4 linked regions of the Drosophila melanogaster genome follow. The protein of the gene in region 1 interacts with the protein of each later gene in a pairwise test. Each region holds a gene or a part of one and is shown in the gene's direction. Other genes may lie near its edges. The genes, in order: CG32631, CG30355, msi and CG12307.

Region 1 (3,688 bases):
CTGGCAATGATTTTTATTTTTTTTTTTTTTTTAACCAGGAATATTATTTAGAATAATGCATAATAATTTATAATTTTCAAGCAATAATTAATTTACATTTATAGTTCCTCACATTACGTATACGCAGCGTTGCCTACTGTTTGTATTTCTAATTTTCAATTACCAGGAATGTTAAATACTCTTATCACCCCGTTCAGCAGCCAAGGGTTAAAATGCATCACTATATAATCATTTAAAACCGAAAAATGATGAAAATCAGTAAATAAGCATATGTACTGAATGAATGATGGGGGAGGGGGGGTGAGAGGGGGAGCTCAGATGCAGGATTGTAAAAATCTTTATAATCGCCACATTGTGTGTAAGCTCGTAAATGTGCTAAAGGGTATTTGGTTCGGAGTTTGTTTGTTCCAGGGGTGATCGAAGTTCATTGGTTCAGTTACCGTCTGTGTTTTTATTTAGAACATGTGTTTCATTAACATAATTAAAATTCAAATGTTACTTGCACTGCTTGAAGTGATATTTTAATATGTTTAACTATGTTTTTTTTTTTCTTTTTAATTTTTTACCTGGACTTCTTTGTCTTCGTAACCTTTGTGTCATAAAAGCGTTTTCAACGTTTTAAAGTATTATTTTTAGGGCTTGTTGCTCGACAAACCGGTTAACACTTTGAATCATTTTGGCCGCTTATTTCGTTCATAATCCTGGTTCTGCATCGATGTTTTGCACGTTTTCAAGGGCAGGCAGCTTTGTAATTTAATTCAATTTCTATTTAATTGAACCAAAGGCGTCTTTAATGTGCAACTTTTTGATTTATGAGTCCGCAACAGCAAGCGGCTGTCAAGCAACTTGTTCATTTCACTCCACTTCTTTCTTAGTTTCCCTCTCTTGCCTTCGGGAAAATTTAAAATCTTACTACGAAATTTCCATGCAAACGAAACATTTTCCGCCAGCCATGCCGCATTTTGCGTTTCCTCTTCTTTTTCTTCCTGTTTTTTTGGCACAAATTTAATTTGATTTGATTTTGGCCGCTGGACATGGCAAGCCCCAGGCAATTTGTCAAAAAGTTATATAGCTACTGTGTATTTTTATGTGCCGGCATATTTAATGACATTTTCCTCATTGCGACTTTTTTTTTTTGAATTTTCAAAAAATACAAAATACAATATCTTCTAAAATCCATGAGCAATGCCCAATTCTTGAAGTTTTTGATGGCCATGCAAGTGATGTGCCATTTGTTGAGTAAGTATATCTGTGGGCAAAGATTTCTAGCTTAGGCGTGTGCAATGTATGAGGAATTAATTTGTGTAAAATTGGCAAACAATGGAGGAGATGGGCCGAGTAAAGGTAAGCAATTTGTTTGAATTCGCTTGGTAAATTAATTGCACAGGTTTGGAAAATTAATGGACACCTGCAGATCCACCAGTGGCATTGTATGTTGGCCATTGTGTGGTTATTGAATTTAAGTTCCATAAGCATTCAAATGAAGATGCTGTAATTTTGCAGGAATATATAAATAAGTATATGGCCGTTATTAAATGCTGACCCACATTTTGTGTACTGGCAAAGCCAGTTTTTTTTTTGTTGGTTGTTAAAAACCATTTTGATTCTTGGCAAATCTGGTTCAATTAACTGCAGCCCAAAATATCATTTAATATCGCGATATGACCACAAAAATCATATATAAGAAGTGGCGAGCCTGGTCACCACAGCAAAGCGACTGAAAGCGAAGTCTGATAAAGAACAATCCTTACAAAATACAAAAAAATATATATATTTAAAAAATACAATTGAGCAACCAAACATGGCCAACATTCTAAGTTTTACCATCTTTATGGCTGCCATTGCTATTGGACTGGCTTTAGCCACAACAACGACAGCAAGTACAAGGACACCCATGCCCACTTCCACTGAAAAATCCATGGAAAAGGACGATCCCATGGAGTCCTTGGAACGCCGTGACAAACGCCAATTGGTAAGTGATTATTGAAGCAAACTAGTCGTGGCAAACTTAGGTGTAGATTTTAGGTTAAATCAATCAATTTTTAAACATTTACCTTTCCTCTTAATCGTATTCCCAGACCGCCAATGGTGGCCAGAGCAGCCTGGCTGGTTCCAGCGGCAACTATCCCGTTTTCTTCGATGGCCTTAATGTGAATCCCCCGCTGCAGCCACTGCCGCCACTGCAGCAACTTCAGCCTCTGCAGCCATTGCAGCCGATTACGGTGGTGACTCCTGTGGCCTCCAGTTCGAATGCCCAGAGCCAGCAGCCGCAGTCCGGCTGGCTGCCTCAGTTTAGCCAGAATCTTCCACTTATCGGAACCTGGGTGGGTGGCCTGCCCAATTTGATCAACGGCCTGGGACTCGGTTCGCTAAACGGCGGCTTCGGCACTCTGGGCGGCCTGAATCTGGGCAACCTGGGACTGGGTGCAGTGGCGCCGGTGGCCGCGGTGCCGGGCCAACTGCTCGGCTCGTCACCCAATCCCCAGACCACATGCCCACTCACCCAGAAGCTCAACTGCCGCTGTGAGCCGCTCGTTCAGCTGCCGGGCCTGAAGCCCAGTTCCAATCCACTGAGGACGCAGCTGGTGCAGATCATGCGGCAGAATGCGCGGAAGAACGAGGACGGTTCGCAGGAGGTGCGCGTAATCCTGAGCAGCGGACATGTGATCTACCAGCGGACGGCCAAGGATCGCGGCCAGAGTGGCTACCTTGCCATGAGAATTCAGTCGGGCAGGTACTTCAACATCTACTACAGTGTCAACGAGAAGGAGTACACGGTGCGGGCGGATGTCAAGGACACGCCACCCACCTCCGATTTTGACGACGAGCTGAGTGGTCAGTTCTAAAAATTGGTCAAAGGGATTTCCCTTTACTTACCTACAGTTTTTTTTTCTATACTTAATACTTAACTAGCCATTTTTTATATGAAATGCACTTAAACATATGTATTTGAATAAGCATTTAAACATATTTATGCTTATATGTTAAGCGTGCCCGATTTGAACCAAGCCGCCGAAATTCTTCGTAAACTCCATTAATCCCTTTTTTATTCGCAACTTTTTTTTTGAACTTAAACAACTACAAACTAGCTGCGAAAGAAATAAACTACAATGAAACACATTTTCTGACGATTGCTCCTTGGGGACAAAAAGTTTAGCTACAAAGACAAATATTCATGGGGGTGCGGCAATAAACTTGTTTTTATTGCCGAAAATGTTGTTAAAGGGTTAACAAGGTGGCAACGGGGGGGAGGTTGTTTCTTAGCCCTTAGCCCAATTTCCAAAAAAGGAACTTTCCTAATTACTGAAGCCACTTGGAAAAGAGATAAATAAATATTTACTCAGGCAATATTTAAGCAATAATTGTTCGCTTATTATTATCATTTTTCAGTATCAACTGATAATTATTCGTGAATAAAAGTTTTAACAATGGATATAGAAGTCTTTGTATTTTATAACTATTAAGTGCTCAAGTTTGTATATATGGCATAAATAGTTATAATTTTGTTTGTTTATTAGTTGCAGCAAGCCGACACCAGTTGAATCTGCTGGTCATGGAAAAACCCACAGAGAAAGAGGCCAGCAAACAAACAAAGAGCCAATGGGCAAATGGAAATCAAGCTGTAAAATGCCATATCCCTATCCCCCTCTCCACCGCCCCCCCCCCCCTCACATCTGCGCTTTTCCGC
Region 2 (3,149 bases), on another chromosome or scaffold:
ACTTAAGCTAGTTTGGTTTTGGATTTCGTATGCATGCTTATGCTGTGTGGGGTGCTACTAAAAACAATTAGTACACACTAGCTTCATTGCTGCTGCTTTAATGTTTGCGTGTTGTTGTCGTTGCTGCATCTGGTACCTCTGGCTTAGTACATTGACTTTCATGAGGCGTACATGCGGTTAATATCATGCTGATATCTGTCCTGGATATCCTTGCGCTTCAGCTTGAAGGCGGCGGTTACCAGCCCCATGTCCGGAGACCAGACCTCCTTACAAAGTGTGATGGCGGCGGGAACCTCATATTTTTGCAATTTACCTTTAAGATTAAACAATTTGCCATTAAAAACTTTGAAAAATACTCAAATCTGCATCGTAGCTTACATTTCCGCGCATGCTCAGCAATTTCCTTGAGAATAGCCTTCTCTATGATCGGTGATGAGCACAGCTCCTCAAAGGACTTATCACCCAGGCCATGTTTCTGTGCCAGCTCCTCCAAATGGTTTTGGTTGGGAACGACCAGCGCCACTGTGTACTGCTTTGTCGGATCTCCGTATACGCAAATGTTCTCGATGATTCCGCAAGTCTTAAGCTCAGATTCAACTTTGCCAAGGGAAACATACTCGCCGGCCTGCAGCTTAACCAGATCCTTCTTACGATCTGCAAAAAGCGTATTATAATAAAAAAAATGAAAGAAAAAGCACTGTGCTAAATAACTTACCAATAATCTTAAGTACGCCATCAGCTTGTATTTCGCCAATGTCGCCGGTTTTAAACCATCTCTGTCCATCCTCCTCAAAGAAATCCTCGTTGGTCTTGCCGGGCAACTTGTAGTATCCCTGGGAGACACACTCGCCACCAATGAGAACCTCACCCTGGGGATAAGGTTTATTTGTGACGCGGTAGTTGCCTTCTTCCCAGTTGACTAGACGGATGTCGCAGACAGTTAATGGTCCTCCAGTGCGTCCATAGGTCATATCACGGTCTTGTATTGGGTATAAAGTTATTTACTTGTTTTCAAAAGAAAGGTCGATCTGCGATCACTTACAGTCCATGACAGTGGCTCCAGACGTAGTTTCCGTAAGGCCATAGCCCTGAATCAGCTCCAAGCACAAGCAGGTCTTGATCTGCTCATGTGTATCTGCTGACAGAGGCGCTCCGCCAGACATGATAATGCGCACTTTGCCACCCATTAGCTTTGCCACCTTCTTGAACACCAGTCTGCAAGAAAAATAATAGTTTTAGTTAGCAACTCATGATATTTATGAGCACACCGTTCTTACTTATCAATCAGCGGCGTCTTGTACCCCCTCTGCACCCACTTGACTTTGTACTGGTAAAGGAATTTGAAGAGTGATTTCTTGAACGCCGAGCCAGAGTTAACCTTGTCGTTAATACCCTTGGAAATGCGATCCAATATCAGCGGCACCGAAGTCATGCAGGTGGGCTTCAGGACGGTGGCATCGCCCTTGCACCCGCGTTTGATCTTGCTGCTAGTGTCGATCAGAGTCAAGGGGGTCGAGTAGCCAATTGGAACGCCAGTCATGAGACACACACTTTCCGCAACCAATTCAAAAACGTGAGCCAGGGGCAGGAATCCGATCAGTACATCATCCGGATAGATAGGCACCATATCAACAAATCCCTTCATTGTCGCAATGCAGTTCTTGTGCGAGAGGAGGACACCCTTAGGTGTGCCAGTGGATCCGGAAGTGTACATGATAATGGCAATGTCATCTCCCTTGGGTGGAACGTGCTCTGTGGGATACAAAATAAAGTCAATTAGTACTAGTTTAATATTTAACAAATTCCTTGCGCATAGCACGCTATACATATGCTGTCAACATTTCAGTGCTGAATTAAAAGCGCATACTTTCGGTAAACAGAAAGAACTCTTTCCAAATTGTGTAGGGTGATTTTTTAGTTCAGACACCATTCGAAATGGCTGAAGTCCTAGAGGAATTCATCACCCTAACGCCCTTGACTTGTGTGCAACAATGCAATGCTTTACTAGGCTCAACATCAGGAAAGCCGAGAAGCTGCTCCGTATTTTTTACACTATTTGGCGTATACTGCGGCGTTCTCATCTTTCGGGCGTATCGCACATATTCCTCTAAGCAAGAAAGAGACGAGGAAAAGATAACCGAAGGAGTTACCCTTGAGGCTAAGGAGGAAGATTTGATCATAGGACCTGGTTCCAGTCTTGTGAACGAATATGTAGAACAAACGAAGCCGATTCTGTTGCAACCCGTCGGTTTTTCCAGTACTGACATGAGGTGAGAGTTGTAGATTAAAACACTGGATGACCCATCAACACATTCTGTCTCGATTAGATGGCGCTATTGCAACCACTTGCCGGAAGCAGAATTAGCACAAGGCTCTGATAGTGAAAACAGATCAACCGAAAGAGATGACATTGATAACCTCGAAAGGATGAGCAATGTTGTGGATGATAATGATGCGCAGAAGCCGGTTGCATCCACATCGATGGCAACGGCTCGGGCGCCTGAGGATAACGCCGATGGTGAACACGTCGAGCCCACACCATTTTCGGTGTGAAACACGATGCATTTTAGCAAATTTATCGTGTAATTGACATAAATAAATCATCTTTTAAGACCCTTTCAAAACGTACCAAATTTACTGTCCTGTCCTGTCTTGACAACTTGGTTAAACGGCAAGATCTTGACGCCCTCCTTGAAGCCAGTGGTTTCTGTCTTTTGCAGCTGATCCTCAATATAGATAATAGTCTTCACCAATGGGCATTTGTCGAGCAGCGTCTTAAACTTGGGCAGCAGATCATGGGAGGTGATAACCGTGGTGACTTCCGTTTCGGTGATGCCTGGCAACAGAGCAAAATATTATTTAAAAACCATACACATGGTAAGCCAATTTACTCACAATGAGCAACTCCATCATCGCCCAGCGTAGCATAGACAGTGACAATGGGCATAGCCTGCTTAAAGCATCCGTGGGCAGCTATCATCCATTCGGCTCGCGTTTCGGCAAAGATGACAATGTTCTCGCGTGGTTTCTGGCCAAGTTCTCGCAGACCGCGCCCGAAATTAGCCGCCGTGCGCTCCGCCTCGGTGAACGTCTTCCACTTGTAGTCACCGAGGTTGTACTTCTTGAAGACTCGACCGTTCTGCTGCACC
Region 3 (4,929 bases), on another chromosome or scaffold:
ACTGGAACAGATTTCACTAATTACTTTTATGACCCAAATTTGCTGAATGCGCAGTTTGCTATAAATTTCTACCTTTGAGCGGTAATAAACTCTGGGAACATCAGTTGCAGACTAGATATTGCCATTGATATAGATCAATGGCTTATTTTGTCCTGTTGTCCTGTATTCCTGAATGGATCTTGGGGTCTTTGGGCAATCTACATCTATTAAAAAGTGTGGTAACTGTCAATAATCTAAAATGTATGGTATTAAAATATTTCAGTTGTTATAATTGTTGTATAATTGTTTTTAATTCTAAATTCCAATAACTTATTCTAAAATCTTTTATAATGAATTAAGAGGTATCTCTTAGTCCAGAAGACGTATGACGACTTTTTCTAAGAACATTTTCTTTTTATTCGTTTCAGTCACTTCTCTCGCCATTTCCGAACTAATCGAAGACGCTTTCTGGCAGAATTTATTGCTGCTTCGGCGGGGGCGTGGCAGGCGGTGGGCGGTTAAGATGTAGACGAAATGGAGGCGTGGCAGGGGCAAAAACTGCTCCTTTGACCTGTCTGCCTCAGTCACTGTTGTTGCTGTTGCTATTGTTATATATTTCTCCTTCTTTATCGCCCGAAGCTCTGCAAACAAGTTTCTTGTGTCCCGACAAAAAAGGAACCAACATGAAAAAATGGACCAAACAAAATAAGGGAAAATATATTACAGAAAAAAACTCTTTTTCGCCGTCAGCTGCTCGATTGCAGAAAACTCGTTGCGCTTGTTGCGCGTTTTGTTGTGAATTATAAAGAAAATAAAAAAAGGAGCAAATTTCATGAAATCTTGCTTAGGAATGGGTAGGCCTTTGATGTTTTTAGGCCGTCTAATAAGCCGCTGAAATTATTGTTTTAGATTTTTTTCTTCTGATTTGGGAGCGCCCGTCTGCGATTTTGCAAAAAATTTGTGTAAATTTTGAATTTTGCGGGGGCGTGCCGACATTTGGTAATTGCGGTGGGTGCAACAGGCGACAAAAACGCTATAAAATAAGCTATAAACTGGGATTAAGTCGTTGTTTAACAATCATATAAAAATGGTAAAGGTAAAATAATAATAAAGTGTGTGTTAAATAAAAATTACAATATTACAAGCATTTCCTTCAAATTAATTAAATTAAATTTTTTATTGCACTTAAGCAACAATTTTAAAGTACCGAAAAATACCAAGTAAATACCAAATGATGCTCATTTTCATTTCCCCACTGAAAAAGCCACAGCAACAACACTACGTCGCAGCATACGGGACCGGAAGTTAGAGAGCGCTCGAGTGCGAACGGGACAACAGTATGAGTCCCAAAAGTTGTTGCTGTCTCCCCAAATGGCGTTTTTTGAGCGACTTCGCCGCAAACAACAACGCGCTCTCAGTTTATGGGAGAGAGAGTTTGCTTGTTTTTGTTCCTTCGCTGGTGGTGTGGTGGGGGCGAGTGAACCGCTTATGTTGTGGGTGGTTGTTGCCATCGCATCGCAAGAGAGAGAACGATTCCGCTCTCCTTTTGGATTACCCTGTACTTCAGAAATTCCCAGAGTATATTGCGTTTGCAGAGTATTATTTTAAAATATATTTTATATTATATCTATTTTTTAAATAAAATTCCTAAAGTAATTTTTTAAATTATATTTATCATTGGGAAGTTAAGCTTAGTGTATCTAAAACTTATTGTATCTAAAAACCGGGTATCTGCAAGTTGGAAAACTCGACCACTTGTTTTATTTTATTATGCTTGCCGCAAACGACAAACAACCGAGAGAGATAGATCGACAAAGAGAGGAAGAGGTATAAAAAGCGAGAGGCGGTGAGAGAACTTTTCCGCGGGGGCCGCTTGTACTTGTATCTGTATCTTTCGGACTCAGTTTGCCTGCGACCGTTACAACAGCCAGTTGATTCGAAGCGGAGCGATTCGTGGATTCGTTTTCATCGTGTCGTCGTCGTTTTGTCGTTGATTTCCGTTTGTGCATGCAGATAAAGCCAGGTCTTAACTTGATTCTGGACTGGGCCGAAAATCGAAATCGAAACCGAAGTGGGCTAATGGAAAATAAACAAACAAACAAAGCTTGAATTTTGTTTGCCGCGCATTTAAAGTAATTCCTATTTGTCGCCCCTAGAAAATACAATAATAAGAAAATCTGTTTCTGACATGTTGCATGACTGAATTAAATTACGTGTTAAATTGTTAAGCTAAATGAACAAACCGCATCCATAAAACGGATGCCAGTGCATGCAAATTAATTAAAAATACGATTCGAAATCTCTCTACACATGCATGCACAACCCATCAAGCTTTATTCAAATCAATGACTTGAGCGGCTAAATAAAATATGTATTTCATGGCTATTAAGATTATAAACAAAATTTATCATTAAATCTAAAATCAACTTTCATGGTTTATTAACTAATGATATGTTTAACTAATGAATGCCAAAACATAAAGCAATTTAATTCGCTATGACTAAGAGACCGATAATCCATACAAAAGACGAGTTCAAGATATGTGTGTATAAATAATATAAAACAATGAACTCTCAGCTCGAGATAAAAAGCCCAGTAATTTGACTAAATAAAACATGTGTAATTAAATAAGTGCTTTACTAATAAATTGATACAAAATTCAATTCAAATGGATTAAATTTATATCAAATTTCGATTCGAGATTGGTGAACATTTGTGCACTGGAGAAAACCATCAATTTTTAAAACAGAAAAATCCATTATCAAACTACAAGCTGTGGTTAATGTTTACTGTGGTTGTTGTCGGTGACTAGCTCAGTTTTATCAACAACAACAATTTTGCGTTTCAGTTTTGTGTATTTCTCAACGAGTTGTGTACGATAAGAACTGAAAGGAGACCTAAGATTTGAAGAAAATCAGAAATGGCTCTAGGGAACTAACGATAATGAAATATTTTACTACAATTTAACAAATTGTCGTTATTTAAAAGAAATAAACACGCATAAGCCCGTGTACAGTTCAAAATCCCATGGAATATGTGACAATTAAATTAATTAAGCTTAAACAACAGATACGATAACTGAACACTTTCCAACCGAAATAAATTTGATTTGTAAATTTCACATAAATCAAAGCGAAATAGCTGGCAATCCTTCCCTTCAACTGAATTAAACAATTACTCTTTGTTTCTCAGTTTTAAGCATTCAAAATCAACAAAATGCGTCAGCTGCGAGCTGAGCTTTAAAAGAAATACGAGCTGAGCAAACAATATAAGATAAACACAGAAAGTCAAGTACAGTCAGTGCTCCAATTTTGTAACCCACAAATATATTTTAGGATTTTCCCAATAAAGTAAAGTGCAAATTGTTTAAAACGACAGCTCAAAAATAAGTCATGGTTTTTTTTTCGAAATATAAATAAAATAGTTTCTGTTCTTTACACTTTAATGACAGTAAGTTAGAGCCTATAAATAACAATTACTTGGAAATACTGAATTTAGTTGCATACATGCTACAAAGTAAGCTCTTAATTGTTTTTTTTTTATCATATTTTTCGACGTTTATAAGAATACGTATTTTATGAAAATCTGCAAAGTTGCTTAAAAAACCTTCAACATTTCCATGTTTGAAGGATAGATAATGGAGTTATCGTTGAGGGTGTTCCACTATTCCAGAGCTCACTTTAAATTGGGGGGAGAACAAAGCGGGCTATAAAGACGCTCGTTCGGCGACTCAGTGTGCTGGCTATATGCGACTATATGGCTATATTGTAGGCCTATTGTCTGGGGAAACTGCATGGAACTGCATATCGGAAATGATTATGGGGGGAGTACCAGCTTGATGACGGTAGAGGCGCGATAAAAGACACACAAAAGGGGGGAGAAAAAAAAAGGTTGGTACGTCATTAACTGACTCAGCCGCATGTTGCATCCAAGCTTTTTTTGTTGCTCCTTTTTCTGCTCAGTATTCACGTCCTGCAGAGAGAGTCCCAAAATCCAGAGAGAGAGCGTGGAGAGCGAGCGGAGAGGGAGAGCGGCAGAGCTTCAGCGCAGCACGGCGAAATTCGCTGAGCTCGCCTTAAACAGTTCGCAGCCGCTCCTTCACCGTTAGTTAAAAAAAATTCCTTGCCCGAAGCGGAAGGATTGTCGAATTTCGTGGATTTTTGCGAATATTTCCCGTGTAATTTTCGTCACGCGTCGTTTATTTGCACCAGCGAGTGTGTGTGAGTGTGTGTATAACGTACTGGTGTGTGTGCGTGTAAGTGACTCAACTCGAAGACATTTTTGTTTCTTTTGTCGAGGGACGCTTCTTTGGTTTTTTATTTCTCTTTCACATATTCGCATATTCTTTTGCGGCGAATTCAATGACGTCGCAGAAATTTGTTTTTATGCCATGAATTTATGTTTCTGTATGCGTGTGCATGTGTTTTTGTTCAAGCAAATCGATTAAATTTATGAAAAATTAATACGAAAACCGGCAGCGAACTATACAAAAACTATGCAAGCGATCCAAGACTCAAATGTTTTTAATTAAAAGCCGTGTGTGAAATATTATCAAACCGCAACGGCAAAAACAACAATATTTTATCACCATTTTGAGAGCGGCACGCACGTGTGTGAGTTCTTGAGTGTTAGTGTGTGTGTGTGTGCAGTGGCGTGTGTGTATGTGTCGAAAAAGCCGGCAATGGCAAAAGAGAATTCAGAATTCAGCATTGAAAGGCGAGAAGCAAAAGGCAAAAGCGAATGCCAAACAGCGAAAGTAAAAGCGTAAAGCCAAAACAAAGAAATGCCAAAGAAAACCCAGAAAGCCAAAAAAAATTGTTAAAATTAATAAACAATAATGCAAATCAATGTTATGGGAAATGGAAAAGCGCTTCAGATACAAATATCAATGAAAACACAAATATTGACAAATACATTTAATGTAAACATTAAAAAGTTGCATGACTATAT
Region 4 (2,893 bases), on another chromosome or scaffold:
AAAGTTTTCATTTCCGGCGTTTAGGCGATCCGCCATTTCGGCAGCCTGCTGGTTCAAGGACTGTCTGTAGGATAAAGCTGCTTCCGAATGAATATAGCTGGGGCCATCCTTGGATTCAGGTAGTACATTTGACTTGTTGGTCTTTGAAGGGACACGATCATTCCAAGAGTCTTGCCTTGCATTACTTGTGGCAACAACAGACGGGGCTTGTTCTTGAGAACTGGTCAGCTTCTTATCTTGCATTTTAAAATCGGAATGCTTTGGTTTTGCAGATTTTAGAGATTGTTTCGAGTCTGAGTCAGCAGGATTTAATTTGAAGGAGCGCTGCGTTCCAGTTTCTGATGGCTTATTTGAAACTTTTGATTTCATTGTGGTAGAGGAAGCTTTGGCTGCTTCTGAGAAATGTTTCGACTTCAAAATTGACTTCGGAGTGAGGGTGGTATTTGAGGAAATACTGTTGCCTATTGCAGATCGTTTCAATGTTATGTTCGAAGACTTTGAGGCCACGTCACCCTCACTTTGCTTATTTGTGCAGCTCGTCTTGGATGCCGCACTGAATTGTGATATGGATAATTTGGAATTTGCTCTACCATCACCACTGACCTGACGGTTTGACCTTATTGGCATTAGGGTGCGCAAAGAGTCCTTTGAAACCGCTTCCTTTGATTGAGATACCTTGGACAGCTTCGTTGTTGAAACACCACCCGCATCAATGCGATCTTTTTCATTGAGAACTTCGGCCTGCTTCTTGGCCACGGCCATCTCTTCATTGATGGCCTTGGAAATGTCCACCTCGCCGATAGTCGACTTGCCTATACTTTGGTTGCTCTTCCGGGAAACCAACTCCTCTGATGGTTGTACATATTCGGACTTGGGTACGAATACCGGTGGCGGATACGTAACGCATGTAGGTATTTTGAATTCAGATCGGGCTCCACTATTGGGTGGTCCCACATTGAATGGATTGAAGGGTTCTACGTCGAAGTCATCAGGAAACATGTTGGGTAGACAGGTTGGCAATTTCCTGTGGGACCTACGTGTTTGACCTTAACCTCTTAAACACCCAGAACCCACAAAAACTTACCTGATTCGGATTAAATTTTAGAAGGTATGGGCCAGGATGTGGTAATTTCTTGTGTTTGTGTCGGAAAGCCAAACTATTTTTTTCTAATTTTTGATTGGCTTTTCGATTAAGGCATCTCAAACGAACTGACACAAAAATCAGTTTATACTAGTCTTGAACAATTCCATTAAGGCAATCACTCTGTTTTAGGTTCTTTCTCTGTTATTTGTGTATACATAATTGGTGTGGCCACATGAATTCACATTGTTATTTTACATTCAAGTAATCTTGGTTATCCCTTTCTTGTTTTTCTTTTTATCTCTGACAATCTCGGGTGCCTTCTTCAAGTTCTACTCTCGGCTTAATTAAAAATGACTCCCGCTTCCTAGAGAGCTGACAAAGTTTATCAATTCGGAGTGTACGTGATGATAAGGTCGAAAATCCTCTGAGTTTTTCTTTCTTGCAAATATAGGGTGGTTGCTCAGAGTTAAGCCACATTAATTAGCAGGCCGAGGGATTTTCAAGCGAGTGCTGAGATTCTGTTGTCAGATCTATCTAAATCTCTCGTCAGTATTTTGATCAACTTTTAGGAGTGCGGTTGCTGAAATTCGAATTAGAAAATTCTAATAAAAAAAAAGAGACACCATTACAATGAAAAACTCAACTGTGCAAGACAGTTCACCGCAAGTGCCACAGAATGGCATGGTCACCTATGGCAGCGGGCTCGTCTTTGGCGGGAAAGTTTATCCGGTATTGGTGGACGGAAAGCCAATACAGCCACCCTTAGGTGCTCATCAGGCAGCAATGCAACAGCGCATGCAGATGCAGCAGGTACAGCCACAGGCGCCACATACCAACTGCCCCAAGTCCATTGTCCAACAACCTATATATCAACGAATGGAGACCCGGTATCCTGCGCCCTCATACATGTCCAAGCCAAGCCAACAGAGCTCTGTGAGTTGTCCTGGCCCAGTCATGGTGCAGCAGCACTCGCCGTCTAACAATCTCGCGATGATGCAACCGTTGCAGGCGCAGATTTTACAGCGCCAGCAAATGCAAACCTCCATGGGCAGTCCTTGCGGCTACTACAACCTGCCAACGAATGCGGGTGGTGATTCCTGCGGCTGGGACGGCTATGCCATGATGCAGCCAATGGATGCCAACAAGCCGTATACCTTTGGCTGGAGTCTTACCGATTGAGTCCTTTATCCTCTGTAACATTGTCCAAAACAATTAATGAAATTAAATGTGGATTGATTTATTCGAATTTGTTTCAATCAATGTACGTACTGCATGACTACTGTAAAAGTATTCATCTCTCTTGAAGAAGTTCCCCATAATGGCAGTTACTCGTCTGGGCTTCCATTTTGCACTTCATCGAGCTCTGAGGTTGCCCCTCGTATCAGTGGCACCTCGTTTCGGGGGTTGGTCGTCATTTAGTGGTAAATTTCCGTCTTAGTTGCCAGCGAACGTCAGACGTGACATTTTGCAAATTCCGTTTTCAGCATTTTGTCGAATCGTTCCAGCATACATGTGCCACTGAAAGTGGATTCCCAGCACCACCACCCATTTGCCTATTGATGCAGAGCTGCCGGTGGTATCAGTGGATAGGGGGGAGCATGTGTGGCAAAAGGGTTGTAACTGGTTTTCTAGTGGCTTCCGATTTTTTCACTGGCATTCAGCGACTGTTGTGATGGTAGTTTTATGAGAAGTGTCTAATGCCATTAAAATATTAAATCGTGGATTTATATATTTATCAGAATTTGCTAGGCTTTAAATTAATCGAAGATATTAGTGAACTGACATTTCCGCTTTCACATTGCTTATAGC

What was found.
Region 2: the proteins of CG32631 (region 1) and CG30355 interact in a two-hybrid assay, tested with the Drosophila melanogaster proteins (one large-scale study listed by BioGRID).
Region 3: the proteins of CG32631 (region 1) and msi interact in a two-hybrid assay, tested with the Drosophila melanogaster proteins (one large-scale study listed by BioGRID).
Region 4: the proteins of CG32631 (region 1) and CG12307 interact in a two-hybrid assay, tested with the Drosophila melanogaster proteins (one large-scale study listed by BioGRID).

What each region holds. Positions count from the first base shown.
Region 1 is NC_004354.4:13,554,748-13,558,435, forward strand, and holds CG32631 (uncharacterized protein), read left to right. Parts: upstream 1-1,724; 5' UTR 1,725-1,801; coding exon 1,802-1,972; intron 1,973-2,078; coding exon 2,079-2,846; 3' UTR 2,847-3,119; downstream 3,120-3,688.
Region 2 is NT_033778.4:8,678,615-8,681,763, reverse strand, and holds CG30355 (uncharacterized protein), read left to right. Parts: upstream 1-1,810; 5' UTR 1,811-1,935; coding exon 1,936-2,270; intron 2,271-2,327; coding exon 2,328-2,553; 3' UTR 2,554-2,618; downstream 2,619-3,149. Other genes in the region: Acsl (Acyl-CoA synthetase long-chain), read right to left, coding at 159-313, 379-654, 716-979, 1,043-1,215, 1,278-1,752, 2,630-2,836, 2,896-3,149.
Region 3 is NT_033777.3:25,514,239-25,519,167, forward strand, and holds the start of msi (musashi), read left to right. Parts: upstream 1-1,879; 5' UTR 1,880-2,111; intron 2,112-4,084; exon of another isoform or gene 4,085-4,234; intron 4,235-4,929.
Region 4 is NT_033779.5:11,650,761-11,653,653, reverse strand, and holds CG12307 (uncharacterized protein), read left to right. Parts: upstream 1-1,643; 5' UTR 1,644-1,714; coding exon 1,715-2,263; 3' UTR 2,264-2,323; downstream 2,324-2,893. Other genes in the region: CG4983 (uncharacterized protein), read right to left, coding at 1-999.